Coturnix japonica: one gene and its partners. The main gene of each other region encodes a partner of the protein of the gene in region 5 in a complex. Links are inferred from orthologs where the notes say so. Each region holds a gene or a part of one and is shown on either strand. Other genes may lie near its edges.

Region 1 (4,191 bases), on a different chromosome or scaffold from region 5:
TTTGTGCTGAGGAGGGGGCTGGGACCGAGGCCTGGGGTGGATGCTGCCAATGGCCGGGCTCTGCTCACAGCTGGATGAAACGATTCCATGTCCCCCCCCCTTCCCCCCAAGTCCCCCTTATAACCGCTGCATCCACCCCAGCCCACCCCCCATTTGCCCCCTGCAGCTCCATATCCCCACTTGGTGTCTTCAGAGGGGGCAGAGGAGGCACAGCTGCACCCCGGGTACTGCTGGGCTGCTGCCCCATGGACTTCCAGCCCCATGGACTTCCAGCCCCATGGGCTTCCAGCCCCACGGATGCTCACGCTGTGCCTGCAGCCCCCCCGGCTGCCTCCCTTGTGCTCTCTGCCCTATGCTGCCTGTGTCTGTCCCAGGGGGCCAGGCCTGGCCTCCCTCTCCCCATTTAACCCTAAAGGCAGAGCTGGGCATTTATGGGCGAGGGGGAGCCAATGAGGGGGGGGGGTGGGGGGAGCAGGGAGGGGGTCTGGCACCACCCTGGGGGGCAATAGGAGCCCCCTCTGCCCCACTGCTGTTCCTCTGCAGCCACTCGTGCTCGTGGTTCTGTATTATTTTGTACTACTCAGCCTTCCCCCACCCCTCCATTCTTACCCCCCCCCTCCATTCTCCTCCCCCCCCCTTTGATTTTGGAGTGCCACCGATGGCTTCATACCCCCCCTTACCCCCCCCCATTCACCCTATGGGACTTTAATTTATTCTCATTCGTTACGTTGGTTTTTTTTACGGTCCTCCCCCCCCCTTCCCCCTATTTTCCGCTGTCTGTACGATGCGGTTCCGGGTCTCCCCCCCCCTTGTTGGTGGGGGGGGGGGGGGGGGGGGCGTTCAGCGATCAATAAAAACGGCTGTTCTGGTTTCTGTAGCGAAGCTGTGGCTGCTCTAGGAGGGGTCGGGGGGGGGGTCACACTAAAAGGGGCCGAGCCTTTCTGAACTGCTCCGTGTTATACAGAGTCCCACATTAAAAAGGGACCCCCCCCCCATTAAAAGATAAAGCTCCGTCACGGACAGGATTCGAACCTGCGCAGGGAAACCCTATTGGATTTCGAGTCCAACGCCTTCACCTCTCGGCCACCGTGACTTCAGCGCCTCCCTCATCCGCGCTCCGCCTAGACCCGGCACACCGCCCCCATCCATCGGGTCCTCCGTGCCGCCAGGGGGCGCTGTGTTCACTCATCTCCATTCGGCCTGCAGGGGGCGCTGTGCACACTCACCCCTGTTCTGCCCGCAGGGGGCGCCGTCCTGCAGTACCCTTCATTACCGGCAGGGGGCGCCGTCCCGCAGTTCCCTTCATTACCGGCAGGGGGCGCCGTCCCGCAGTACCCTTCATTACCGGCAGGGGGCGCCGTCCTGCAGTACCCCTCGTTACCGGCAGGGGGCGCTGCGTCACGTCACGGCGGGGAGCGGCCCGGCCCGCTGGAAGATGGCGGTGCGGAAGAAGGACGGCGGCCCCAACGTCAAATATTACGAGGCCTCGGACACCGTCAGTCAATTCGACAACGTCCGCCTTTGGTTGGGCAAGAACTACAAGAAGGTACGGATCGTTCGGGATCCCTCATAGGCCTCACGGCTCCGCTTTACACGGAGCCAGGCCCGAGGCTGAGCCCCCTCCCGCAGTACATCCAGGCCGAGCCCCCCACCAACAAATCGCTGTCGAGTCTCGTGGTTCAACTGCTGCAGTTCCAGGAGGAAGTGTTCGGGAAGCACGTCAGCAACGCGCCGCTCACCAAACTGCCGGTGCGTGACTGGGCCGGGCGGACAAAGGGACCCGCAAACCCCGCAACCCCCCCCAGGGACACCCCAGGACCTGCACGACCCGGCCCCGTAATGCCCTGGGTTGGGGGGGACACATGGGACCCCCCCCCCTCCCTTTGGAGGGGTCTTTGTAAGACCCCCCCGGCCCCAAATGGCCCAGCTGGGGTGGAGGGGACACATGGGGACCCTCCCCCTTCCCAACCCCCCCACCCCCTTTGGAGGGGTCTTTGCAAGACCCGAGGCACCCCCGGACCCGCAAGGCCCGGCCCCGTAATGCCCTGGGTTGGGGGGGACACATGGGACCCTCCCCTTTCCCAACCCCCCCACCCCCTTTGGAGGGGTCTTCCCCACCCCCATCCCTTTGGGGAGGTCTTTGCGAGACCCCCCCGGTTCCAAATGGCCCAGCTGGGGGGGGGGGGGGACACATGGGGACCCCCCCCCTTCCCAACCCCCCCACCCCCTTTGGAGGGGTCTTTGCGAGACCCCCCCGGCCCCAAATGTGGGATGACACGTGGGGACCCTCCTCTTCCCCCCCCCCCTCCTTTAGGAGGGTCTTTGTGAGACCCCCCCGGACCCGCAGGGCCCGGCCCCGTAATGCCCTGGGTTGGGGGGGACACGTGGGACCCCCCCCCCCCTTTGGAGGGGTCTTTGTGAGACCCCCCCGGCCCTGCAATGCCTTGGTGTTGGGGGGGACACATAGGGACCCTCCTCTTCCCCACCCCCGTTCCTTTGGGGTTGTCTTTGCGAGACCCCCCTGGCCCCAAATGGCCCAGCTGGGTGGGGAGGACATAGGGACCCTCCCCCTTCCCACCCCCATCCCTTTGAGGGGGTCTCTGTGAGACCCCCCAGGCCCCAAATGTGGGATGACACATAGGGACCCTCCTCTTCCCCCCCCCCCCTCCTATAGGGGGGTCTTTGTGAGACCCCCCCGGTCCCATAATACCTTGGTGTTGGGGGAGATACATGGGACCCTCCCCTTCCCCCCCCCCCCCCCTATAGGGGGGTCTTTGTGAGACCCCCCCGGTCCCATAATACCTTGGTGTTGGGGGAGATACATGGGACCCTCCCCTTCCCCACCCCCCACCCCCTTTGGAGGGGTCTTCCCCACCCCCATCCCTTTGGGGAGGTCTTTACGAGACCCCCCCGGCCCCGCAATGCCTTGGTGTTGGGGGGGACACATGGGGACACCCCCCACCCCCCACCCCGTTTGGAGGGGTCTTTGCAAGACCCGAGACACCCCCGGACCCGCAATGCCCTGGGTTGGGGGGGACACATGGGAACCCACCCCCCCACCCCCCTTTGGGGAGGTCTTTGCGAGACCCCCCCGGCCCCAAATGGCCCAGCTGGGGGGGGGGCACATGGGGACCCTCCCCTTTCCCAACCCCCCAACCCCCTTTGGAGGGGTCTTTGAAAGACCTGAGACACCCCCGGACCCGCACGGCCCGGCCCCGTAATGCCCTGGGTTGGGGGGGACACATGGGACCCTCCCCCTTCCCAACCCCCCACCCCCTTTGGAAGGGTCTTTGCGAGACCCCCCCGGCCCTTGGTGTGGGGGAACACATGGGGACCCACCCCCCCACCCCCCTTTGGGGAGGTCTTTGCGAGACCCCTCCAGCCCCAAATGGCCCAGCTGGGGGGGACACACATAGGGACCCTCTTCTTCCCCCCCCCCCCTCCTTTAGGGGGGTCTTTGTGAGACCCCCCCGGTCCTGCAATGCCTTGGTGGGGGGGGGACACATGGGACCCTCCCCCTTCCCACCCCCCACCCCCTTTGGAGGGGTCTTTGCGAGAGCCCCCCAGGCCCCACACGGCCCAGCTGGGAGGGATGGACACATGGGGACCCTCCTCTTCCCCACTCCCATCCCTTTGGGGGGCTCTTTGGGGCTGGGGTTGGGCGGGGGGGTTGTTGGGGTGGTCGCCCCCATGGCATGGAGCAGGGACAGCAATGGGGACAATAGGGAGAAGGGATGAGTCCCAGTGCTGCCCGCTGTGGGGCATTGCCTGCTATGTATGGGGTATTGCCTGCTGTGGGGCACTGCCCGCTGTGGGGTATTGCCCGCTGTGGGGCAGCCCCCCCCCCGAGTCCTCCCATCCCCTTTTCCAGATCAAATGCTTCCTGGATTTCAAGGCGGGGGGAGCCCTGTGCCACATCTTGGCGGCTGCTTATAAGTTCAAGAGCGACCAAGGATGGTGAGCGGCATCATAGGGAGGATGGGATGGAATTAAGGGTGGTGGTGGGGTTGGGAGGGGGGAGGCAGAGATTTGTCTGCTCTATGGGGCACAATGGGGGCGGTTACAGCCCTGGGTTGGGCAGTGTGTTGGCTGCCCATCTGTGGGTCACAGCCCCATACACAGATCCCTGTTGGGGTGTCCCCCCACCCCCCTTTAATGGGTAAAATGGGGCTGAGTGATGAGGAGACCTGA
Region 2 (3,944 bases), on a different chromosome or scaffold from region 5:
CAAAATATTGCCCAAATGTAGGCAAAGGCCCCTCGGCTGCCCTGACCTCCGCCGGGCCGGGCCCTGCCTGACTCAGCTCCTTACTCAGCTCTCGTTTCCTCCCTCCGGCTGCTGCTGCCGCTGCAGCTCACACCCTAACGAAGCACGGCCCTTGATGGGCTCTGCGATGCACCCAGCAGTCCAAGGGCTGGCCGGGAGGTTTGCACCGCTACTTGCTGACATGAGCGCTGAACTTGGCCCTGGGTAGCGCTGCAGGCCGGGAGGGGTGGGTGCAAACAATGCACCTGGTGCCCCATCCCCTCCCTTGCAGCACCAGGCCGATGGTGTGATTGCAGCTCGGTGCATGCACGCGCCGTGATACGTTCCTTGCTGCTGTAGCAGCCTAGTGCACGCACAGCCCTCGCTGTTATTGCAGCTCTGCGCACACACTCATTGTATCACTCCATCCCACAGCATGATGCACTCGCACTGGAGCTATCGCTGCTGGGTGCACACACTCATTGTATCGCTGCAGCTCAGTGCATGCACGCAGGCTGCTGTTATTGCTGCTGGGTGCACGCACATCAGTGTGGCTGCAGCTCAGTGCATGCACAGCCGGTGCGCATCGCTCCCACTGCTCCCATCGCTCCCATAGCTCCTATTGCTCCCATTGCTCCTACTGCTCCCATTGCTCCCATAGCACCCATAGATCCCATATAGCACCCATAGATCCCATACAGCTCCCATAGATCCCATATAGCACCCATAGATCCCATAGCTCCCATAGCTCCCGTAGCTCCCATCGCTATGGCCGCCTGTCCCCGGGAGGTGACTTCAAGGGGACCGCAGGACCACCGGGATGGGGGCAGGGCTGCATCCCCTCCCCAACAAAGCACTATGGAATCAAAGCATTATGGAATCAAAGCACTATGGAATCAAAAGGGGGTGGGGGTGGAAGGGAGCGTCACACCCCGCCGCTCAGCCTCACCTGGAGCTGAGCCCCACGCTCCCCTCTCCCCTTTCATCCCCCCAATTTCCTATTTATTTATTTCTTAATTATTTTGTGCAGCGATGGGGGCGGGCGGGGCGAGGCGGGAGAGGTGCGGCCACAGCCAATCAGAAGGGCGCGCTCCGAAAGTTTCCTTTTATGGCGAGGCGGCGGCGGCGGCGGCCCTATAAAAGGCGGAGCGGGCGGCGGGCGGGAGTCGCTTTGCGCTGCCTTCGCCCCGCGCCCCGCTCCGCATCCAGCCGCCTCGTGCCGCCCGACCCGGCTCCGACTGACCGCGGTACAAACACAGGTGAGCGGCCGGACCGCAACGCTGCGACAGCAGAGCTCCATTGTGCCATACGGGGGAGCACCGAGGGGCTGCGGGGGGGCGCTGTGTATTGGGGAGGGGGCGTGAGTCGGGGTGTGTGTGTGTGTTAACGGAGCCGGTGCTGCCCGGTGCCGCGGGGCGGTTCGGCGCTTTGTGCTGCGATGAGCGGGGCGGGGGGCGAGGGAACAAAGGCGGAGTGAGGGGTGGGGGGGGGTCGGGTTGTGACCCCCATGTGCAGCTTTAACCCCCCCCATGTGCAGCTGTACCCCCATGTGCAGCCCCCCCCCCCCAATCCTTGTTACAGATCGCGGGCTGTGCTGGCTGCGGGGCTGTGCTGGGTGCGGGGCCGTTGGGGGCTCGGGGCGGTGCCGGTGGTTGGGGGCGGCTGGTGGGCGGGGCTGGCTGCCCCTATAGCGCCGGCGGCTGTCGAGGCGCGGCTCGGAGCTGCCATTGCCTTTTATGGTCATGGTTGGAGGGCGCAGGGACTTCCTTTGTCCCAAATCTGTGCCGAGCCCAAATCCGGGAGGTGCCGCCTGACCCCCTCTAGCGGGCGAGGGGCGAAGCGGAGCCGGCAGGAAGGAAATGGGTGGGAGGAGGAGGGCCGTGCTGCCGCGCTGCCGCCCCGCGATCCATCCCCAGCGTTGGGGGGATCTATAGGGGGCGAGGCGGGGCGGGGTCCGGCTTCTAGTGCGTGACCGGCAGCGCTTCTATCTCACTGCCTCCTCTCTTCCTTCGCAGCCAGCCATGGATGATGATATTGCTGCGCTCGTTGTTGACAATGGCTCCGGTATGTGCAAGGCCGGTTTTGCCGGGGACGATGCCCCCCGTGCCGTGTTCCCATCCATCGTGGGTCGCCCCAGACATCAGGTACGGCAATGGCTGGAGTGATGCATCCAGACAATGGAGAGGAGTGTTCGGTGGGAGTGGTTGTGCTGAGGGCGTGGAGCCTCCAGAAGCCCTTTTACTTTCATGTGTGACATAAGAGGTTTCTACTCTGCAACAGTAACTGGTTGAATACACAGCATCCTGCCGAGCAACCCGTGTTGAGCCAATGGCTCCAGTCCTTAACCTGGCAGAGTAGGGGCAGTAGGGGGTTAGTGATTAAAGGTGTGGCTTCTGCGGGGGGGGGAAATAAAACCTTTATTCATCCATTGGATTTTGTCCTAGAGTTAAACTTAAAGCTTTTTCTTTGTTGTGCAGGGTGTGATGGTTGGTATGGGTCAGAAAGACAGCTATGTAGGTGATGAAGCGCAGAGCAAGAGAGGTATCCTGACCTTGAAATACCCCATTGAACATGGCATAATTACCAACTGGGATGATATGGAGAAGATCTGGCACCACACTTTCTACAATGAGCTCCGTGTTGCCCCTGAGGAGCACCCTGTGCTGCTCACAGAGGCTCCCCTGAACCCCAAAGCCAACAGAGAGAAGATGACACAGGTGTGTAAAACCCTTTGAGCCTGGAGCTACAGCAGGCGCTGCTGCAGGCCAGCTCTCCTCTTCCATGTTGTCCTCTATCCGCCTTCACCACTTCTCCCTTTTTGCCATCTTTACAGGGTTTTCCTTTCCTGACCTGAGTCTCCTCTTTGCTGGACCTTGACAGGTTTTGTTTGCTCTAAGCTGGCTTTCTCTGAGACTGAACTAGCAACTTGTCTAACTGCTGTTTCTGACTAGACACTAATCCATTTACCAGCCTTGAATGACTATACTGTAGTTCCTTGGCCTTTGTTTCGTTCCTTGCTGTGTCATGTGGATGGGCCTGTGGTAGCAGTGTCCTTGCTCAGGCTCTAACCTGGCAGGTGTGGGTGGAGACCAAGCGAGATAAGCACTGATATCTCCTTCTAGAGGAGCAAAGAAGCCTCTTTATCTAGGGACAAATGTAAAACCACATGCATGGACTGATGTAGGCATGCAGTGAGAACCTTGGTTTATTCTGCTTGACTCAGTGCTTTCTTATCTCTCTAGATTATGTTTGAGACCTTCAATGTCCCAGCCATGTATGTAGCAATTCAGGCTGTGCTGTCCCTGTATGCCTCTGGTCGCACCACTGGTATTGTGATGGACTCTGGTGATGGTGTTACCCACACTGTGCCCATCTATGAAGGCTATGCCCTCCCCCATGCCATCCTGCGTCTGGATCTGGCTGGCCGTGACCTGACGGACTACCTCATGAAGATCCTGACAGAGAGAGGCTACAGCTTCACCACCACAGCCGAGAGAGAAATTGTGCGTGACATCAAGGAGAAGCTGTGCTACGTCGCACTGGATTTCGAGCAGGAGATGGCCACAGCTGCCTCTAGCTCTTCCCTGGAGAAGAGCTATGAACTCCCTGATGGTCAACTCATCACCATTGGCAATGAGAGGTTCAGGTGCCCTGAGGCCCTCTTCCAGCCATCTTTCTTGGGTAAGTCTGACTCCTTTTAGGAGATTCCGTGCCCCTTCTGCCTAGAGTGACTTAGAGACTAGTCAGCTGCCATTGTACTGCTGGCCCTTAGCAGGTCTGTCCCATTCCACTTCAGTCTTTGTCTTCCTCAGCCTGAGGATGATAGAGGTACCTAGGTCAGAACCAGGAGGCTGAGCCTGTAAGCCATGGCTTTGCTTGTGTTGCTTCCCACTATGGGGTCTTTGTTTCTCTTCCCATAGCAGTAG
Region 3 (3,500 bases), on a different chromosome or scaffold from region 5:
TGTTCTGATACTTTCTGATAACCTACCTGCTGTTGCTGTTGATACATGGTAGTTTGCTGGCTAGGGAAGGGGCTGCCAGAGGATGTGCCTTGAGTGGAGAACTGATTGCCATAGGAATCATGTCTGGAGAAGAAACACAAGCATCACTTTTCCATCAGATACATTTCTTTATCACAGTACTTCTCTCAACTGGAAAGAGCTCTCTGTGGCAACGCCCCACACAAACCTTTGCTGCTGCTGCTGCTGCTGAGGGTAGCGGCTGGGAGAGTACATCCCTGATTCCGAAGTGGAAGGCATGATGTTTGGCTGTGGAGTTCCAGCTGCTAAGTTGCCCTCTGGTCCCATGCCTGGCTCCGTCCTACATGGAAATAAGTGACAAATTCTGTGACATTCCCTCAATGCTCAAATGAAAAGCAAAAAGCAGCGATTGAACAAGTCAAAGCAATCAGCTCAGTTGAAACAAGCAAGTCTGGAAAATCAGTGTGGCTAGAGCACCCACCTCACTCTGTCGTAAGGACCACCATAGGGATACTGTGGCCGCTGTCCCATGGCCATGTTACCCATCCCTGGACCTGCAGCACGATTGTAAGGGTCACCCATACCACTGTTGGGGCCCTGCCCTGAGGACATGAAGGGATCACTTCCTGGAGCTAAAAGAAGGAAAGAAGGATCAGTAAACACATCTATCTCTGCATTAAAAAGAAACATCCCTTCTTTTGTGAAAGAAGGACAAGCATGTCTCCTACAGCACAGCACATTCCAGCATTCATCCAGATACACTGACAGTGCTCCTGGAGAAAAGGGAGAGGAGTACGTACAGACTTTCTCACCTTTCCTCATACTACCATAAGGATCCTTATTTGGCTCATAAGACATGCGACCCATCATGTCGGAGGTATTCATGCTGGGCTGGTACCCTGGATTCGGAGTCATGGAGTTCCGCTTCTGGAACGTGGGATCACTGCCATCTGTAAAGGTATCTTGAAGGCCCACTGAGTTACTCCTGATTTAAAAACAAAACAACCCCACAGATTTTTAGAGGCCCGCAGTGCTCCTCAAGATTCTTCACCCCACATATTCCCTCTCAGATATTGCTACCTCCTAGAAGGGCCAGAACCATGCTTCTCCAAAGGAGGCAAGAACTACCCTTCTACAATACTATCCTTACCAAATCCCAAAAGCAGTGGTTATTCACACACAGAGACACAGGGTCAACAGGGTCACTGTGAGCTACTAACAAAGTAGCAAAGCCAAGAGTCTATCAAAACAGGTACTTAAAGTCTCCAGCCAGCTGTGGGAACAACTTCTGGCAACCTCACAATCACAACTTACATCCAGTATGGTGGAAGAGAGTGCAACATTTACATACCTGATGCCTGGCAAAGGAGGCATCTGACTGTGTGGTGTAGATGCTGGAGTTGGAGGCTTCAGGTCTCCTCCTTCTGCCATAGAGCTGCTGGTGGACTGAGGTGTCTGAGGCCCCTGCATCGAGCCTGAACCCGCTGCAAGAACACAACTGTGGCGTGAGCAGCTTTGCATCCTACAGATGTAACCCAGAACCTCCCGAAGCACCAGCCTCTATAACAGACAGTGATCAGTCTCTGAACAAAGAGATGGGTGAAATACAGACAAAACAGTACAAGGAGTGCAATGCCTCCAAGCACATACTGGACCAGACTCCCCAGAAGAACCCTGTAGAGTAAGGTGAAGCTGAAAGGAAGTGTTCATTTTTATTACAACTTAACCACCTTCCTTTCTACACATGGTACCAACCACTATAGCACCCTGTTGAGCTGCCCAAGCTATCCAGTCCTAGAGGTCAGTGCTCCACAGTGGACCACGCGGTAGGGAATACATTTCTTTCTGCCAAATGACAACCTCTGACACACTGTCCTCACATCCTAATTCTGCCCAGAAGGGTTTAAACTGTCTCCCAGAAGCTTTACAATCTTTCCAACTGATGGCAACTCTGGGACTTTTTCTGCAGTCACTGGGTAACTCTGAACAAGGCTCCACTGTCTTCTCTGCCCTTCAAGTGGGGTTAATTCACACAGGTGAATTCAGGCACCACTCCCAAGAATTCCTGGAACAAGGAATGCCAGAGATGCAGGATCTTTCACAGAACAACAAAACCTGTCCAGCAAGTTCCCTGACTCTGCACAAGTTGTTTTACACCACACTAAGCCTTCATCAAAAAAATACAAGGCCATCAGGTGTGATCCAGCTGTGCTGCGATCTGTGAAAGTCTGCCCCTGGATCACTGTGACAGTGTCAGCTCTCAGGTTTATATGCTCTTCGCAGCTGGCAGAAGCTGAACTCTTAATTAACGTTTCCATTAGTTACCATCCCCAGCACCCGATATCCCTCAGCTTCAACCCTGCTGGTTGATGAGTCATTTCAGCTATTCATTAAAATCCTCCGAGGTCACGTCCAGGGCATGTTTGTTTACACCCCACCTTCCTGGCATCCTGTCCTTCTCTCTGTGACTCCCTCCCAGCCCAGGGAGCTCTCGGCAGAAGGAAGGGCAGAGACAGCTCAGCAGGGAGTTTCATTCATGAACCCTTCCTGCAGCTCTCCTTCCCTTCTCAGCAGCAGTTTGGTTCCACTTGCTTCCCCAGGAATTTGCAGTTCGTCTATGTGCTTACAAATGCTGGCAGCGGCATGAAGAGGCCTTGAGACATTCCCCACGTGGCTGCCATTTGGTGTTTGTCCCCACCCCCTGCTGTCCCTCCCACTCACAAATTTACACACAGTTGGAGCCAGGCCAGTTCCATGCTCTGGGAATTAAAACCAACAGTAGGCTGATTATGGCTCCCCAGGCACGTGCTACAGTTTGCAAGCGGGAACCCAAGACAGTCTGCAGCAAACCCATGCTGAGTGCCCACAAGGCAATCCCCAGCCCGCTTCAGAGGATGTTCTGTAAACAGTTTTGCTTTTTGAGGGTGAATAAGACGCAATATATGGAAAGTATCTTCAACACCAAGAGCTCTTCTCTGACCACTGCCCTCTAAGGCTTTTACATCCCCTGGGGCCACACACAGTGGGTAATGCTGAACCGTGCAGTGTGACCTCTATCGCTGATAAAGCACTGAAAAGTTAATTTTGACAGAGCAGGCTGAAATTACACATAAGCCAACATCAACAAGTTACAGAGTCTACAAGGACAGCAAATCACATACATCCATATGGGATGAGAGTCCTTTCCCCATACAATGGGATTCCAGAACCCTCCGCTGTTGCCTGCTCTGTTTTCCATTAGGACAGTTATGCTCCAGAAGGGTGACTCCCTGGTAAACAGGCTCACAACCCTTAAAGATGCTACTAAAATGAGCCTCAGCTACCCTGGAACAGCTGTGTCCCCTGGGACTCTACAGCTCTGAAGTGCTGAGAGCACACTTTGTGCTGTGCGCCGTGCCCTCACCCCTGCTAATGCAGGGGAACAGGAGAGAGGAAGAAAACAAAAATGAAAGAGGAGCACAAACATGCTGAGTGATAAGGCC
Region 4 (4,042 bases), on a different chromosome or scaffold from region 5:
CACTGCACAGAGCCTGGCCAGCAGGGTGATGGAGGGAGGTGCACCTCCCCTCTGCTCTGCCCTGGGGAGGCCACAACTGGAGCACTGGGCTCAGTGCTGGGCTCCCCAGTTCCAGGCAGACAGGGAACTGCTGCTGGAGAGAGACCATTTCTCAGCTCAGCCCTTCCTTATTTCTATATCCCTCCCAGCCACTTCCTAACTCTGTCCAAAGGCTCCTGCCGGGCTTTAAGCCTCACTTGAAGTTGCTGCATCTGAACAATACGGAGCAGATAAGTTCCACCGCTTCTCCTCACCATGAATATTTCATCAGGCAGCCAGGCGCCAAGGCTGTGTTGGAGGTGGCATTACATTAACTGCACGGACACACGGATGCTGAGACAACAGCTAATGGCTGTGCTCACGGCATCGTGTTTTCTATCGAGGTCAAGAAACACTGAATTTGGTGGAAAAGATGCCAACAACTCCCCACTTTTCTCCTCAGTCAACAATGCCATGCACTGTACAGGACAGCTTCCTAAATGGCCTGTGATTATCATTAATTGCTTAATTAATACTTGCGGTGTGGCTGCTCTCTTGGATTTTATTCATGGATTAATGCAGGCTGGATGCAGGTCCCTCTGCTCTATGAGCAACCACACGGATGAGTGCCCTGGGGACAAGGAAAGTAATGCTAATACTTGCAAAAAGCGGCCTTTAATTCAGCGCTGTGCCTTCTACTGAGGGAGGGAGGAATCCTCCTCCAAGCATCCCCAGCCCTAAGCAAAGCAGCCCCAAACACGAGCACAGAGCACCTGTAAGAACAGGGGACCCCCACCCCAACTCAGTCACAGCATCGAGGCTTAATGAGCACCATCCTCCAGCACCTTGCACCCTCAAAACACTTTCCTATGGTCCATGCATGTCCCCAGGACGCAGCCCCTTCCCACACATCCCCCCCTGCAAATACCCCATCCCATCCATGGTCTCTGAAACCCCCAAACCCAACACCATCCCATAGCCCTCTCCAAGTCCTCTACCCCCACCCACAGCCCTCCCCACGCTCTACACCCCCCACCCCCACCCCAGAACCTTGCCATACTCCCCCAGGCCCCTATTCCCCCACAGTAGTGAACCTTAAACCCACCCACGACCCCCTCCCCACCCACTACTTCCCACCCCCCGCAGTTCCTCCCGCCGGCAGGGGGCGCTCTCTGCAGCCGTTGCCGCTCTAGGCCGCTGTCCGCGCTCTCTCTATGTCAGAGCTCCGGTTCCGGCCCGCTCCTCTTTGTGCTGGACAAGATGGCGGCGCGGGCGGGCTTCCAGTCAGTGACTCCCAGCGGTGGAGGCGGCGGGGCCGCTACCGGGACCGGAGCGCTGGGTCCGGGCACACCAGGCGGACCGGTGCGCATGGGCCCAGCCCCGGGACAGGGCTTGTACCGCTCACCTCTACCAGGGGCCGCCTACCCGGTGAGGCAGGGGAGGGGCCGCTGCGGGGCGGGGCGGGAGGGAGTGGGGGCGGCGGGGCCGAGGACGGGGCCGGCTTCCCCCCGGGTGGGCATTGGAACGGCTTTTTTCTTCCCCTTGCAGCGCCCTGGGATGTTACCGGGCAGCCGTTTGGCACCGCAAGGCCCCTCTATGGGGCCGCCCGGGTACGGTGGGAGCCCGGCAGTGAGGCCCGGTATGGCGCAGGCCGGCCTGGATCAGGCCCGTAAGAGACCAGCGCCGCAGCAACTGCAGCAGGTTCAGCCTCAGGCGGTGCCCAACCGCAACCACAAGTAAGAACCGGGGGTGCTGGGGGGCTCAGGGAATAGACGGTGCGGGGGGGGGGGGGGGGGATCAGGGCATCCTTGGCCATCCTTAGAGCTGTGAGTGGGGGGAGGAGCTCGGGTCATTCATAGGATAACTATGGGGTAGAAAGGCTCTGGGGACATCGTTGGGTGTCCTCTTGGCAACAGGGGGGTTCTCAGGGCAATGGGTGTCCAAAGGATGCTGCCAGGGCAGTGGGAGGCTTAGGATATCCTTGGGTATCCTTGAAATAGGAAGGGTTCCTGGAGCAGATGAGGGTCCCAGATCTTCCCTGTGCTCCTCCAGGGCAGGGGAGGGAACAGTGAAGGTCTCAAAATGTCCCTTGGGCATCCTCAGAGCAGCAGGGGTCCTGAGGACATCCCTGGGATGGCAGATGAGTCTTGGGCATATCCTTGGGCATTCCTATGGCAACAGGGTTCCTCAGGACACCCCGAGGGCAAAGAGGAGTCTCAGGGCATCCTTGGGTCCAAGGGGTCTTCGAGGTATCTCTGTGCATCACCAGAGCATTGAGGGTGCTCAGGGCATCCCCAGGTGGACGTGGACACATTGCTTCTCTCCTCATGAAGCCCCATGGGACGAGATCTGTGTATCAGGGTGAGGGCAGGCATCACTGAGCTGCAGGCTCTCTCTGAAGGGGTCAGCACTGACTTGGTGTCATCTGCTGGCTGCTCAGAGCAGCACAAAGCTTTTCTGTGTGCAGAGCCAGGCCTGGGCCTCTCATTGCTGCTTTTTTTTTGTTGGGTGGCTGAAAGAAACTTTGATGTTCTCGTGCAGCTTCGTCTCTGGTAGAGGGGAATTTCCAGCAGATAAAAAAGTAATGTGCAACTGCTGGACAAGAGCAAGTTAATGTTCAGTTTCTGATAGTACAATGTGATGCCTTGGTAACGTTGGTAATGCATCTCTGAGTCTCCTAGAAAAGTCTGTCTAAAGCACATTGAGCCATAAGGCTTCCTTTCCAATGATGCAGCCTTGCTTTCATTGCTTTCCTTGGGGATGTATTAAGGCGATCAGCTGCTGCAGGGCTGAGAGCATTGCTGATGCCCTGGTCCTAAAACACAAACCTCATCTCGCTCCTTTTGTGAACGTCCAGTGTTAATTAGCAGAATGGTTGCCATTTTAATGCTCTCCTTACTTTACAGTGCTAAAAAGAAGAAGATGGCAGACAAAATTCTACCTCAGAGGGTGAGTGGCATGTGCAGTTGACAGCCTCTGCTGATATGGAGATGTGGGGGAACTGACAGTGATTTGCATTCTTGATTGGCTCGTGTTCTGCTTGTAGATCCGTGAACTTGTGCCTGAGTCTCAAGCTTATATGGACCTGCTGGCCTTTGAAAGGAAATTGGACCAGACGATCATGAGGAAACGCTTGGATATCCAGGAGGCTTTGAAACGACCCATTAAGGTAGGAGAGGGACATTCAGAGACTTACTGTTATCAGAAGAGTAGGAGGGCTTTGAAGGTTGTGTCATAACCCTATAAGCATAGAGAGAACTGTAATGCCCAGGACTTAAGTGGGGGGGTAGAACCAAGACTGCCTCTCTCTGTGCTGTTTGTCCTGAGAGTGGATGTATGAGGAAAAGAAGAATATTTAGCTTAGTTTTAACAAAACATAAGCATGATTCTCATCCCTTTGCTTCTGAATGAATACTGAGCTGATGCTTTTTCTTGTAGCAAAAGCGAAAGCTACGTATTTTTATCTCCAATACCTTCAATCCAGCCAAGTCGGATGCAGAGGATGGTGAAGGAACAGTGGCCTCCTGGGAGCTTCGAGTAGAAGGAAGGCTGCTAGAAGATGTGAGTGTAAGGCACCCAACTGCAGAGCTGATTTGATGGGTCTGGAATTGGAAATTGAACCAGTTTCTTAGTGTCTGGGAGTGTAGCTAAGGGCTTGATATCCTCCTTCATCTCTGTTTTCCAAGGAGTCTGATGGTGACGAGACCGAGAGCCCAACTCGGAGACCGATGGGTATCCCCATGGCAGAACATGAGTTATACAAAGTTCTTATAGCTATAAGAATTAATGGTGAGAGCCGATCAGTAGCACTTGTGTACCCTGGCTCTTAGAACCAGGGCACTCGCATTTTATGTAATTGCTGAGTAAGTTAATTCCTCCAAGCTCATCTTTATCTCCAGTCTTTCACCATTTTTGACTTGGAACTTGATTTTCGAGCATGTGTTGATGAATGTAAGTGTTCACAACTTAAAGGAACACTGCTGTGCACCTTGCCTGTGCTTGAGTCCTGGAACTTGCTCTCCTG
Region 5 (4,003 bases):
GAGTGCTCCAGGGAGTGCATTTAACTGACAATCTGAAAGAAAAGTCAGCTGTGGGAGTACAGACTGAGAAAGGGTGGAGGAAATCAGCTCCACTTCTAGATCGAGCTCTGTAAATTACAAGATCTTAATTACATTAAATACATTATGGTACCGTATGCACATTTCTAGTCAGGCAGGAGTGGAGGAAATGTGGCTGGCTGCTAAGGCTGGAAGCTGCACTGCTGTGCTTTAGACTTGATCTTCAATTCAGAAAGTTTCTTAACCACTTTGTCCTAGTTTAGTCATCCACAAAACAAAGGCAATAATCCCTTCTTCACAGGGGTGATGAGAGGTTTAATTAATTAATGTTTACAAAGCCCACTGAGATTTCTGACTGACACTTTAAGTCATTCAGAATACCACTTCATTGCATTTGTTCCTTCTGCTGCCCCACTCGAACATCTCCGCATTAAGATATCCAAAGGAAAAGATGGAAAGAAGAAATAGAGATAGGTACCCAACAATGAATGCAGCATTTCTAGCCCACTGCTGCCCATCAGCACACTGAGTGCTGCCTTTTCTGCAGGCAAAGAACTCTGTGTTTATCCAGACACCTGCTGCCCTTTCTTCGCAGATCTGTTACGCTCACATCTCTGCCGTTTTTGCCTCGGAGCACCGTGTAGGTGAGCAAGGTGCTGGATGGCAAAAATAGCAGGCGATTGAGTCGGGCTGACCAGACAGACAGAGGCAGCGAGGGGGATAAGAGCAGAGGGATGAAAGCCCCCGAAGAGAACCAGCAAGTGAGAAAAGAGGCAGAGAGAGAGGCGAGCTGAACGTGGGAGCGCCCATCACAGCCGGGGGACTGCACGCACCGCGCTATTCCGTGCAGCGCGTTCCCAGGGACGCTCAGGTACACGGGAGCACGTTATTTCGAGAGCAGCGCAGCACGAACGAGGCCACACATGTGTCCAAGTGCCGGAGAGAAACTGAGCTCTGGGCACCGTAGACGGGCGGCACAGCCGGAGCTGCGGACACCTGAGCCGGGATGTCTCGGTCCCGACATTGTCCCCGGCTCGGAGCGAAACCTTTGTGCGGGCAGTTTCTGTAGGGGGCGTTTGTGGGTTTTCAGATACAATCAAAACGCAGATAAATGCAAATGTCATTCGGCTCCCTTTCATTGTCAGGGAGGACACATGAGGATAAAACGTTGTGCTCTACGTCCTTTCCCCTATTATGCGTCCTACCGCTTTTGTCCTAATTTATCCCGTGCATAATTTATTTACGTGCGTATTGTTTCCCCAACCAGCAACTTTAAAGAATGAGTGGAAATTATAAAATGTTTTATTAAACAACTTCTCGATATAAAAACGCAGGTGGTGCCGGGCAGTCCGTGCCGGTCCCGCTTCCCCCGCTCAGCAGCGCAGCACTTGTGCAGGCAGAGAGACGAGCTGCCCATTGTTCGCGCTCTCCCACGCCGCGCGAGAGGAGCCGAGCTCCGCTGCCCTCCCGGCTCAGCCTGGCGGGGCCGGGGCGGCCCGTTCTCCCCCACCCCCCGGGGCTCCCGGGGAGCGCTGCCCGCTGAGAGCGGCTCCGGAAGCCGGGCGAGAACTGCGAGCGGGACGGAGCGCCCGGGGCATCAGCGCGACAAGTTGCTGCGGGCGGCGCGGGTCCAGAGAGCGGCGGCGGCGGGTGCTGAGCCCCGGGATCCCCTTAAAGGAGCGCGGGGCACCTGCACTGCCGCTGCCCGCGGCCGTGTGGGCGCTGCGGAGCGCACGCGAAATGAAAGCGAAGGTTTTCTGCCAGGACGGAGCGGGAGAGCCGGCAAACGTGTCAGCACCTTTCCGCAGCCCGAGGCTCATCCTCCCCGCAGACTGCGGAGAGACGGCGGCAGGAGTCCCCGGAACCACCTCCGAGCGGTTTGCCAACTCCAGCCGGAGGGACGCGAGTCAAAAACCAACAAAAAAAGAAACAGAAGAAAAGAAAGCGGAGCCACATCCCGCAGCCCTCACTTCGGCTCCGGACTCCGTTCCGCGCTGCTGAGAAGTGCGGGGAAGCGCCGCCGCCAGGTGTCCGCGCTGCGCTGCGCTCCGTCCGCGGGAGCGCTGCCCCGGGAGGCACAACTCTCCCGCGGGAGGTTACGCGGCGCCGGGTCGCGCTCTCCCTAATGCCCCGGGATTAGCCGCGCGCCGGAACCCGAGGGAAACGCCAGAGGAGAGCAGGGGGGACGGCGAGCGATCCCGCGTCCCTCTTAGGACGGGGACCCGGGTGGCGGCGGCAGCCGAGTCGCCCTCCCGCCCCCGGCGCCCGCTCCCGAGCCGCGAGCGGCACCAACTCCCCGCCGCTCGGAGCCTTCCGCGCAAACGGCGCCGCTGCCCCGCGCCGCACCCCGCACCCCGCGGCTCGTCGCTCCCCGCCGCCCGCCCCGCCCCGGCCGCCGCCGGACCCCGCGGGACGCCGCCAGGTGCGGGTGCGCCCCGACCGGGGCCGCAGGACGCGCCGCCCGCCCGGAGCCGCCGAGCCGGGGCCGCGCGAGGAGGCGGGGAGCCGGGGCCGGGCGAGGCGGGAGGGCGGCCGTTCTCGTAGCGGAACCACGCGGAGCGTGTGCGGGTCTGAGCCCTACTTACGCTTTCAGGGGGTTGTGAATGACAGTCGCCATTTTGCTACAATGTAACAGAATATTGTGTCTCGGAGTTCTAAAGGTTCGCTCAGGGGAAGCGCCCGGCCAATCGGCGCGGGTCGTGCCGGCCCGCCGCCCAATCGTGCTCCGCGGGCGGGGCCGTAGCGCTGCTAGTTATTAGGGGAGCTGTCAAAGCCCAGAGGTCGCTCCTGCCTGTGGAGCGGGCGGCGAGCGGCCCTTAAAGGGGCAGCGCCCGCGCGGGGCACGCGGCCGGGCGGATCCTGGCAGGGGCCGCCCCCGGGGACACCGCCCCGCCCGCCGCCCTCCCGCCGGGCCGGCACCGCCATCCGCCCGGCCCCCGGGAGCCGCTTCCCCCCCCCAGGAATTTCCCTCCCGCGTCGGGTGGCCGCGGCCCCGAGCCCTTACATAACCGTAACGACCGGCCGCGATGACCGACACGCCCCGCCCCGGCCGCTCCCGGGACGGGACGGCGGCGGGGGCGAGTCCCGGGAGCCCGCGGCCACCTGCCGCTACACGGAGTGCTCGCAAGGAATTGGGAAGAGCGGCAGAGCGCCCGAAGGAAGCGGCGGGCTGGAACTCCGCGCCACTCGGAGTACAGCGCCGGAATGGAACGGGCACGGTCCGAGCCAGCAGCTCCCGCCCCGTCCCTCCCGAAGGACTCCCCTCCCTTCGGGCACCTCTGTCCATCCAGAAACAAGCAGCAGCCTGCCTCTCCAATCCTCGCATTCATAAAACTGGAGGAAACTCAGCTACACGCAGTTAAATCATTCCCATCGCAGGAGCAAGATAAGCCTACAGAGGGTAGCCCGATCCACAACTTAATGAAAGAATGGAAGTAAATGTTTGAGAGATGTTCAGGTGTAACACAGAGAAAACAGCAATCGTTGAGCTCATGGGATGAGCTTTGCAAGGGCAGAAAAACTAAATCTCTCCCAACTGTTTGTCAAAATAAAACTTTCTAATGTGTGGGCAGCAGAGAAAAGGCTGAGAGATGAACAACAGAGAGGTACAGAAATTATTACATGCAGATAAGGGGAAAGAGCAGTGCATCACTTTCCCAGTCATGCAGGATTCAGCAGCTTTGCCAGAGTCCCCTTTCCCAAAGCAGCACCTGCTGCAGCTCCAAGGCCAACCTGCCCACTGTGTGCTCCCGGAGGGAACCATCTTCCCCTATCTGAGACACTTGGTTACAGGAGAAATAAGCTTCCTGTCAGCTGGAGAGTTGCCAGACTGCCGAGATGTATCCTAACCACGGTTCTGGGAAGCAATCTTCAAGAACGTTTCCATTATCATATTGCATTATATTATATGGTATAGTAGTGGTCCAGGTGACATTGACTGTAACTGCAGAAAGCCCTGTTCGGTACTCACACTGTTCACAGGAAA
Region 6 (3,500 bases), on a different chromosome or scaffold from region 5:
CTCAGCTGCTGTGTTATTCTGACTGCGCTCAGCTTGCTCAGCTGCTTCCTTTTCCCTTTCCTCCTGCCTCTTGCGTGCCTGTTCCTCAGCCTGAGCAATTTCAGCTGCGATTTTTTCCATATCCACTTCCACCTTCAAACTGCACAGCTAGCAATTAGAAAAAAGCTCTTTTATTACCCAGTTACATTGTGAAAAGACAAAGCACCAAGAAAACTCAATTATTACTCGGTATCTCAACATGCAGCAATACGTGCACAATAAATATTGTGATTTGAATAAGTTTACATTAAAAGCTTCAGAAACTACAGAAGAAGCAACTCAAACGCTCCACCAGACCTGGGACACTGCAGTCATCTCATCACAGACAATACGGAACTAAATGGAAGTGGGCAGAGAATCAGTATGAGCAGGGAACCAGTAGATTGCTCAGAGTAAGTGGGGAAGGAGACTCGTACCCTTTTGAGCTCATTGTTAAAGGAATCTGTGCTTTCCAAGAACTTCCTCTTCTTCTCCTGGTGACGCTCTTCAATTTGCAGCAGCTCAGCTTCCAGTTTACGCTGGAAATGTAATAAATGTAACAAAATTAATAAATGTCATAAATGAAGCTGCTTTACTTCTGAAGAAATGGACAACAATATTCAAACCAACATTTAAACACAGACATGTTTTAAACCCTTACACCAAAATGTTTCCTTGATCCAATACCCAACATACACCAAGAAGGAAAAAAGGCTGAACAATAAATGGGGTCTGTGCGGTAAAGAACTGCTACAAGACTGCAGTCATAAGCAACCGAATCTACCAATATACCCTCTAAAAGGGTTGTGTGTAACAAGGAAAAGTTCAGCTTAAGGTAACTCTCAGTAAAAAAGGCCATGGGAAATGAAATCTCACATCTTGGCACTCCCAAGATCAGCAGTTGGAGCGCACAAAGCACAGACACCCAACAAGAACAGCACAGGGATGATCAAAGGACGCGCAACTCGGCGTGCTGCCCTCCCATCATTTATCTTTACCTGGTGAACCATTAAAGACTGAACCTGGCGTTTAAGAACTTGCATTCTGGCTGTGGTGACAACAGAGCGGACGTCAGGAACCACACTTTCGCTCAGGATCTCACTGATGAGGCGATGGTTTCTTTGGAAGCGGGCTGTAGCTGTGTGCTTCATCGAAAACCCATCGTCGTAATCTGAAACAGGAGTTGGAAGCACAAAGGCACTCATTCCCCAAAGCAAGCACTGGGGCTAATGAGGCTGCACCAACATCAGCACTGACTACAAACAAACCAAAGCCCAACACTGCTTTCTTGTGTCACAAAGTTCATCCTAAAATATTTGAGCAATTCATCCCAAATATGAGTGGATCCATCCTGGTGCTGGCACAGCTGGCTCTGCCTGCATTAATTCTGGCCCACATAGTGTGGATCAGAAATGAAAGCCCCACAATGTCAGCTGCTTGGAGCACTGAACATGTTGACATCAGTTCTGCAGTTACCTCACATGGGAAGGCGCTGTTGCCACAGGCTTTATCTCAGGGTGTAACTGAGCAGATTTTCTCACCCTCAGGTTTCAACAAGTACGTACGGGGTCACCAATTTCAAAGCAGACTTTAACTGCACAAATCTGGATTTTCCCTGCTGGGTGGGGTGCATTTCCTTGCAGTCAAATAAACTTTCAGAATTTTCTCATCAACTTGTCAACAGTGAGGATAACTCTGTTCTAAACAATCTCAATTGACTTTTGTTGAACCTTTGAAGTTCAGGTGCTCCTAATCATGCCAGAATTCAGCTTATCAGAACGACGTGCTTCTTCTGGTCATGAAGTGCAGGATTCCATTCAAGCTGGATTAAAGGAAGCGGCTCATCGTTTGGTAATTGATTTGTTAGAGCCACTACAGAGCTTTAAGCAGACGAATTTCTTTTGAACTGTCCGTATCACTTCATACACAATTAAGGGCTGGTAGATTTATCACTGCATTGCCACCTTAGGTTTTGGGAGCTGTTAGCTATACAAAATAAAAGTAGTGAAGGTACTGAAATAAAAGGAAGTCACACTCAGCACCAGGAAGGCTACACAGAAGTAATTTCTCTGTCTGGCGTGTGCTTATGCCACAGGCCCTGTGGTGAGACTGTCTCCCTGCACACACACACAGGCTGTTTTCTGCTTACCGTCTGGATCTTCTGCTGGCTGTATGCTCATGTAAGGTTCACCCTTCTCCATGCGTGACTGCCGTTGTCGGCTTTCTTCTTCTAACGCAGCCTCAGCACGACTTTTTGCATTGATGTAGGCAAGGTACGCAGGAGAGTTGTGGTAGGCCTTCATGGACTCATTGTACTCAATCTGAAAGGTGACCAATATTGTTTGATTGCACCACTGGACAATTTCAGACCTGACAGAAATAGGTGTTACTCAAACTCAGTTATACAGACTTCATTTCTGAACTACCTGACTGAGACACCACCAGATTCCCTCAGCTTTTAAGTTTTACATATCAGAACTCCTTCCACAATCATTCAGCCCAAATGGCGTTGGGTTTTTAGCTGCTTTTTACTGCTTGAGAGGTCTTAAGAACGCTTTATTTTTGTCATTTGAAGTCAAACTTCAGAACGAGGCATTTATCAAATGAACTCAGATCAAATAAAGAAGAGTTGACTTAAAATATTCTCAATAGTTCTTTGGAGTTTTATCTATGTCTTTTATTTCCATTTCTTCTCTTTCTTTATTCCAGTTATGCCATGAGCCAGTTTCCAAATAACTTATGCCTTTGCGTTCTTTGATCCATCCCTGCACTGGGATGATACAGAGTGCTGCAGCCAGACTACTGGTAGCAGGACTGCATCACTGTTTTCACTTTCTCTGAAATATTTTCCCTTTGAATTGTTTACTTTCAGGTCACTCTTAAAATTTGCCTACTCTAGAATTTGTACAGAGATTTCAGGTATTTCCAATGAAAAATGAGATAAGCTACGATCCTGGCACCAATACCTGAGGGCGTCAAGTTTCTTCATTACTAGGACTGGACAAACACAAGCAAGATGGCCCCTGCCCCAAGGAGCTTACAATCTAAACACTGCTACCAAGTTAAAGAGACTAGAATTCCTTCATTTTGTTTCAACTAAGAGTTGGAAGTACTTCTCTACTGACTTGGAATCAAACAGCTCAGGTTTGATCAGGCTGTGCACAACCAGGATGCCAGCCAGGTTTAACTACAAGGCAGCGGGTGGACAAGCTCCCCTCTGTAGTTCAGGATCACAGTAACAGTCTTGTAAAAGTCCTCAGCACTTACCAACCTAGAGACATGGCAGAGCTGTCATCTTTTGTTGTGAAGATAAAAACAAAACCAAGAGAAAACCCTACAGAATGGTATCATTTTTCGACTAAGAAACAAAACACCACGCCACAGCGTGGAGATACACCAGGTAATAGCATGGAAAGCAAACCCTACGTGACTGGAAGTCTTTTATGAGCACGTTCATGCCTCAACAGCAGTAGTTGCAGAGC
Region 7 (4,155 bases), on a different chromosome or scaffold from region 5:
CACACACAAGTATGCATCAAAACACATGGACATACCCTGACACGCATGCACATGCATGTACACACTTACATACATGCTCACACATGTCCACATGCAGGCACATTTACACACATGTACACATGTGTGCATACACATAGAGACACGTGCATGTGTGTGCATACATGTGCACATATAGGCACATGCAAACATGTGAATACACATGTGCACACATACACATAAGGACATGCCTGCACATGGAGGTACATACATACACACAGAGGTACATACATGAGGTGTACACATGAAGATCCATATACACCCACACACACATGTATGAACATACATGCAATCATATGCACATATAATCACATGCACTAACAGCTACACACGTGTACACACATGCTAACACATGTACCCATGCACATCCATGCACACATGCAGATGTGTTTACACCACCCACACACATACACACATACATGCACACACATGTACACACGTACGTACATGTACTCAGGAAAACACATATGAACACACATGTACACTATTATGAACACGTGCACACATGTACACATACACACACATGCATGCAGAGTGGGCACGCATATGCACACACGTGTGCACACATATGCACATATCAGATGCATACACGGCCCTAAACATGCAAACACACACATGCTGGCAGAGATATGTGCACACAATCACACACATGTGCACACATACAGCCAATGGGGGCGGGGCCTCACAAGTGGGCGGGGCTTTGTTTAAGGGGCGTGGCCACACAGAGGGGGCGTGGCTTAGTGAAGGGGCGTGGCTTAGTGAAGTGGTGTGGCTTATTGGAGGGGGCGTGGCTTAGTGGCGGCTTTTGAGGGGGTGTGGCTTGGCAGAGGGGGCGTGGCTTTGCTCTGGGGGCGTGGCTTAGCGGAGGGGCGTGGATTATTGGAAGGGGCGTGGCTTATTGAAGGGGGCGTGGCTTATGGAAGGGGCGTGGCTTATTGGAGTTAGCTTGGCTTAGTGGATGGGCGTGGTTTATTGGGGGGCGTGGCTTTGCTCTGGGGGCGTGGCTTAGTGGAAGGGGCGTGGTTTTATCGGAGGGGGCGTGGCTTAGTGAACGGGGTGTGGCTTATCGGAGGCGTGGCTTTTGCTTTGGGGCGTGGCTTATTGGGTGGGGCGTGGCTTAGTGAAGGGTGTGGCTTTAGTGGAGGGCGTGGCTTATAGGATAGGGCGTGAACGGGTGTGGCTTATCGGGGCGTGGGTTATCGGGGGGCGTGGCTTTTTTCTCTGAGGGCGTGGTTTAGCGGAGGGGCGTGGCTTAATGTGGGAGTGGGCGTGGCTTAATGTGGGAGTGGGCGTGGCTTATCGTGGGAGTGGGCGTGGCTTATCGGGGGTGGGGGGCGTGGCTTCTCACGCCGCGCGCTCCCTCCGCTCCGGGCGCCGCCGCTTCCGAGTAAACAGCGCCGGGCCGCCCCCCCAGCTTTAGGCCCGGCCCGGTTCGGTTCTGCCCGGTCCAGCACCGCCATGGCCGCCCGTGGAGCTTTCCCTCTCAGCCCTCTGCCTCCCTCCGGCTCCGCCGCTCCTCCTCCTCCAGGGCCCGGACCCGGTATGATGAGAGGCCCCAACCCGACTCCGGCCTCCGGGGCCGCTCCGGGATATCGTCCGATGGGGCCTTCGGGAGCGCAGTACCAGGTGAGGGCGGGCGGGGGGCGGCTCTGTGCTCTGTATTGGGGATGGGAGGTGGGAGGTGGGATTGGGGGGTTACTTAGAGGCCTCCAAAGGGGCCGTGGGGGTTCAGAGGCCTTTTGGGCCCGGAGGAAGCGGCGCTGCTTCCTGAACGTGGGGCCCTGGCGGTGGGGGGGGAGCGGGGCTCCATAGGGGCGGCTGTCCTGGCCCCCCACCCCCATTAAAAAGTTAACGGAGAAGTGTTCTGCCCTATGGAGGTGGTCCCGTACCCCCCCAGGCTGTGCTGTGGGGGTCCTGGCCCAGGAGGGTCCATCACAGCCATCCTTGTGCATTTCCAGCTCCGGAGATGGAGCTGTGATGGTGAACGTTAAAGGGAAGGAATGGGGATAAAGGGGAGTAAATGTGACCCGCTGCAGTGCTGGAAGCTGTGGACTCTGCTCTCTTTCTGCTGCCTTTTCTGCTGTTGGTTCAGCCCCCACGTGTTGTGGGGTTGTTTATGGAGAAGCCTCGTTCTGCGATGAGTTCTGAGTTCCAAACCGAAGAAATCCAGTCATCCACATGGGGGGAATTTCCAACTGCTGTATCAAAGGAGGAGAAACAACCCGTGAAGCTGAAAAACCCCGAAGTGAAAACTGAGATGAGCTCAGCCAGGCCAATAGGGCCCTGCATTGGCTGTAATGTGACTCAGAGCTATAGGGAGGCTTCATCCCGACCTTCCCAGGTTGCAGAACCCAGCGGGCATCGCTCTGTTGTGGGTAAACAGGGGCACATATGTTTGCTTTCACCCCCCCCCCTTATCCCATGCTGGCCATAATACTGCACTCATGGCAGGTGTTGGGAGCGTATGGATGGGGTAGGGTGAGACTGGGAGCATATGGCAGTGCTGCAGTGTTTGGGTAATGCAAGTCGTTGTTGTCGTGTCTGGCCGGCAGTTTGCTGGCACAGGGAGGGGATTGGGGGCTGATCGATCCGGTCTGTCTTTTGTTTTGCAATTTGCAGGCCTGTTTAAAGCAGCTCCTCCCCACCAAGTGGTCAAAACTGCGGTGCCCGCAGGACTTCTCAGGGGGTAACCAGTGAGTCAGGCTCCTTCTGCTGCATTATGCTGGCTAGGAGAACACAGCAGCCCTCATGTATGGCAGCGGGTGCTTAGGGGCTCTTTAATCAGTGGATTATTAAATGTATGTTAATCCTTTGACATCCCTTGCCTGCCTGGCTATGCACCAGCAGCTCAAGAAGGGAAATGGGGAGGACAACTCACTCTAGCACTGATGTTTCCAGAGCAGAAAGGAGTGGGAGTGTGTTCATGCAATGGGCGATCAGCTGCACGGTGGTGTGTCCACCCCCATCCCAAGGCTCAGGTTAGCATAAATCCATCAGGAGTTCCCTCTGTTTGTTGTAATGGAGGTTTCAGGCTTGGGAGATCCTTCCCGAGTTATCAGGTTGATGCTGTGGTAGGGAATGGGCTCAGCTCTGTGATGCAGTGGAGGAGGGGCTGTGCAGAATGGCCTTGAGGTTGCCCTGTGCTGTCGCTTTGCTGGCGTAGATCAGTGGCAAAAAAAAGAAGAAGTGGAGTTAATGAAGTGCCCCGTTAAAAGCATTTCATTGGCACTTGCTGACAAGCAGGAATCCCATTTCCGTGGGACGGAAGGGCTGTTGCAAGCCAAACAACTGCTAACAAAGTGATATTGGAGGAAGCGTGGCTGTGCATGGAAGGAGTTGGAGCTTTCTGCTTCCAAACAGACCTGCTGGATCCCATTAGGAGAGGAGAGCTGGGTGCTTGTCCCATGGTTGGCCTGGGGACGGCAGCAAGGCTGGAAGTGCAGCACACAGCAGGGATCTGCAGCTTGCATTGCTGCATGACCCACCCTTCCCAGTGGGGGACTGTTTCCAAGGCAGGTTTCATCAGAGGCTGAGCATCCAGCAGAATGAAGCCGTGACACAAAGCAGAGCAATGCTGTGCTCTCAGTGCTGGATAGAAGCAGGCAGCAGCAGAGCTCAGGGCACCCTTTGTTTCTCCTTAAGGCTCATGGAGGTTCTGCTCGGTGGGAGCATCTCCAAAGCTTCCTGCTGGAGGCCTTTGCTCTGTCTTCCTCCATAGGGACCCTCAGAGCCTTTCCCTGCACATCTGAGCAGTGTTTTCCACTCTTCCCATTGCTTCCCCCTTTGTATTACTTGAGGCTGCCACGTTTTCAAGCAGGAACCCAACACCTTTCTTCCTTGTTCCTGCTTGTGTTTAAGGCATAAATCCCCTGAGTTCTTTCTCTGCCTGCTGCAGCCTCTGTTCCTTAGGTTGCTCTTTGTTTTACACCTCCTTCCCCCTCTTACCCTGTGCTCTCCATGGCCATCAGCACGAGGTGAAAGTCCCAGGCTGTAACTCGTGCATCCCTTCTGTTCTCTTGCCAAGTCCCTGCGGTGTGGAAGCTGCTGAGAAAACTTCACTTAATGTGGCCTTTCCCCTTCAGTGTCAGCATGGCTGCTGGGTCCTGGTGTGAGCGCTGC

What was found.
Region 1: DPF3 (region 5) and SMARCC2 share a complex: the UniProt entries of both Homo sapiens proteins name them as parts of the BAF complex. The link is inferred for Coturnix japonica from reciprocal best matches to the Homo sapiens genes DPF3 and SMARCC2.
Region 2: DPF3 (region 5) and ACTB share a complex: the UniProt entries of both Homo sapiens proteins name them as parts of the BAF complex. The link is inferred for Coturnix japonica from reciprocal best matches to the Homo sapiens genes DPF3 and ACTB.
Region 3: DPF3 (region 5) and ARID1A share a complex: the UniProt entries of both Homo sapiens proteins name them as parts of the neuron-specific chromatin remodeling complex. The link is inferred for Coturnix japonica from reciprocal best matches to the Homo sapiens genes DPF3 and ARID1A.
Region 4: DPF3 (region 5) and SMARCD1 share a complex: the UniProt entries of both Homo sapiens proteins name them as parts of the BAF complex. The link is inferred for Coturnix japonica from reciprocal best matches to the Homo sapiens genes DPF3 and SMARCD1.
Region 6: DPF3 (region 5) and SMARCE1 share a complex: the UniProt entries of both Homo sapiens proteins name them as parts of the BAF complex. The link is inferred for Coturnix japonica from reciprocal best matches to the Homo sapiens genes DPF3 and SMARCE1.
Region 7: DPF3 (region 5) and SMARCD2 share a complex: the UniProt entries of both Homo sapiens proteins name them as parts of the BAF complex. The link is inferred for Coturnix japonica from reciprocal best matches to the Homo sapiens genes DPF3 and SMARCD2.

The regions. Positions count from the first base shown.
Region 1 is NC_029544.1:895,855-900,045, reverse strand, and holds the start of SMARCC2 (SWI/SNF complex subunit SMARCC2), read left to right. Parts: upstream 1-1,391; 5' UTR 1,392-1,435; coding exon 1,436-1,546; intron 1,547-1,629; coding exon 1,630-1,749; intron 1,750-3,865; exon of another isoform or gene 3,866-3,871; coding exon 3,872-3,957; intron 3,958-4,191. UniProt on the Homo sapiens protein: Involved in transcriptional activation and repression of select genes by chromatin remodeling (alteration of DNA-nucleosome topology).
Region 2 is NC_029529.1:4,232,029-4,235,972, reverse strand, and holds the start of ACTB (actin, cytoplasmic 1), read left to right. Parts: upstream 1-1,144; 5' UTR 1,145-1,277; intron 1,278-2,033; 5' UTR 2,034-2,039; coding exon 2,040-2,162; intron 2,163-2,495; coding exon 2,496-2,735; intron 2,736-3,260; coding exon 3,261-3,699; intron 3,700-3,944. UniProt on the Homo sapiens protein: Actin is a highly conserved protein that polymerizes to produce filaments that form cross-linked networks in the cytoplasm of cells.
Region 3 is NC_029538.1:53,095-56,594, forward strand, and holds part of ARID1A (AT-rich interactive domain-containing protein 1A), read right to left. Parts: intron 1,503-3,500; coding exon 1,370-1,502; intron 1,004-1,369; coding exon 831-1,003; intron 651-830; coding exon 500-650; intron 359-499; coding exon 227-358; intron 124-226; coding exon 27-123; intron 1-26. UniProt on the Homo sapiens protein: Involved in transcriptional activation and repression of select genes by chromatin remodeling (alteration of DNA-nucleosome topology).
Region 4 is NC_029544.1:347,990-352,031, reverse strand, and holds the start of SMARCD1 (SWI/SNF-related matrix-associated actin-dependent regulator of chromatin subfamily D member 1), read left to right. Parts: upstream 1-1,242; 5' UTR 1,243-1,278; coding exon 1,279-1,446; intron 1,447-1,566; coding exon 1,567-1,754; intron 1,755-2,924; coding exon 2,925-2,967; intron 2,968-3,064; coding exon 3,065-3,187; intron 3,188-3,456; coding exon 3,457-3,585; intron 3,586-4,042. UniProt on the Homo sapiens protein: Involved in transcriptional activation and repression of select genes by chromatin remodeling (alteration of DNA-nucleosome topology).
Region 5 is NC_029520.1:23,752,220-23,756,222, reverse strand, and holds the start of DPF3 (zinc finger protein DPF3), read right to left. Parts: upstream 2,801-4,003; 5' UTR 2,636-2,800; coding exon 2,604-2,635; intron 1-2,603. UniProt on the Homo sapiens protein: Belongs to the neuron-specific chromatin remodeling complex (nBAF complex).
Region 6 is NC_029542.1:4,150,377-4,153,876, forward strand, and holds part of SMARCE1 (SWI/SNF-related matrix-associated actin-dependent regulator of chromatin subfamily E member 1), read right to left. Parts: intron 2,340-3,500; coding exon 2,168-2,339; intron 1,190-2,167; coding exon 1,017-1,189; intron 558-1,016; coding exon 456-557; intron 148-455; coding exon 1-147. UniProt on the Homo sapiens protein: Involved in transcriptional activation and repression of select genes by chromatin remodeling (alteration of DNA-nucleosome topology).
Region 7 is NC_029542.1:1,260,750-1,264,904, reverse strand, and holds the start of SMARCD2 (SWI/SNF-related matrix-associated actin-dependent regulator of chromatin subfamily D member 2), read left to right. Parts: upstream 1-1,355; 5' UTR 1,356-1,494; coding exon 1,495-1,662; intron 1,663-4,155. UniProt on the Homo sapiens protein: Involved in transcriptional activation and repression of select genes by chromatin remodeling (alteration of DNA-nucleosome topology).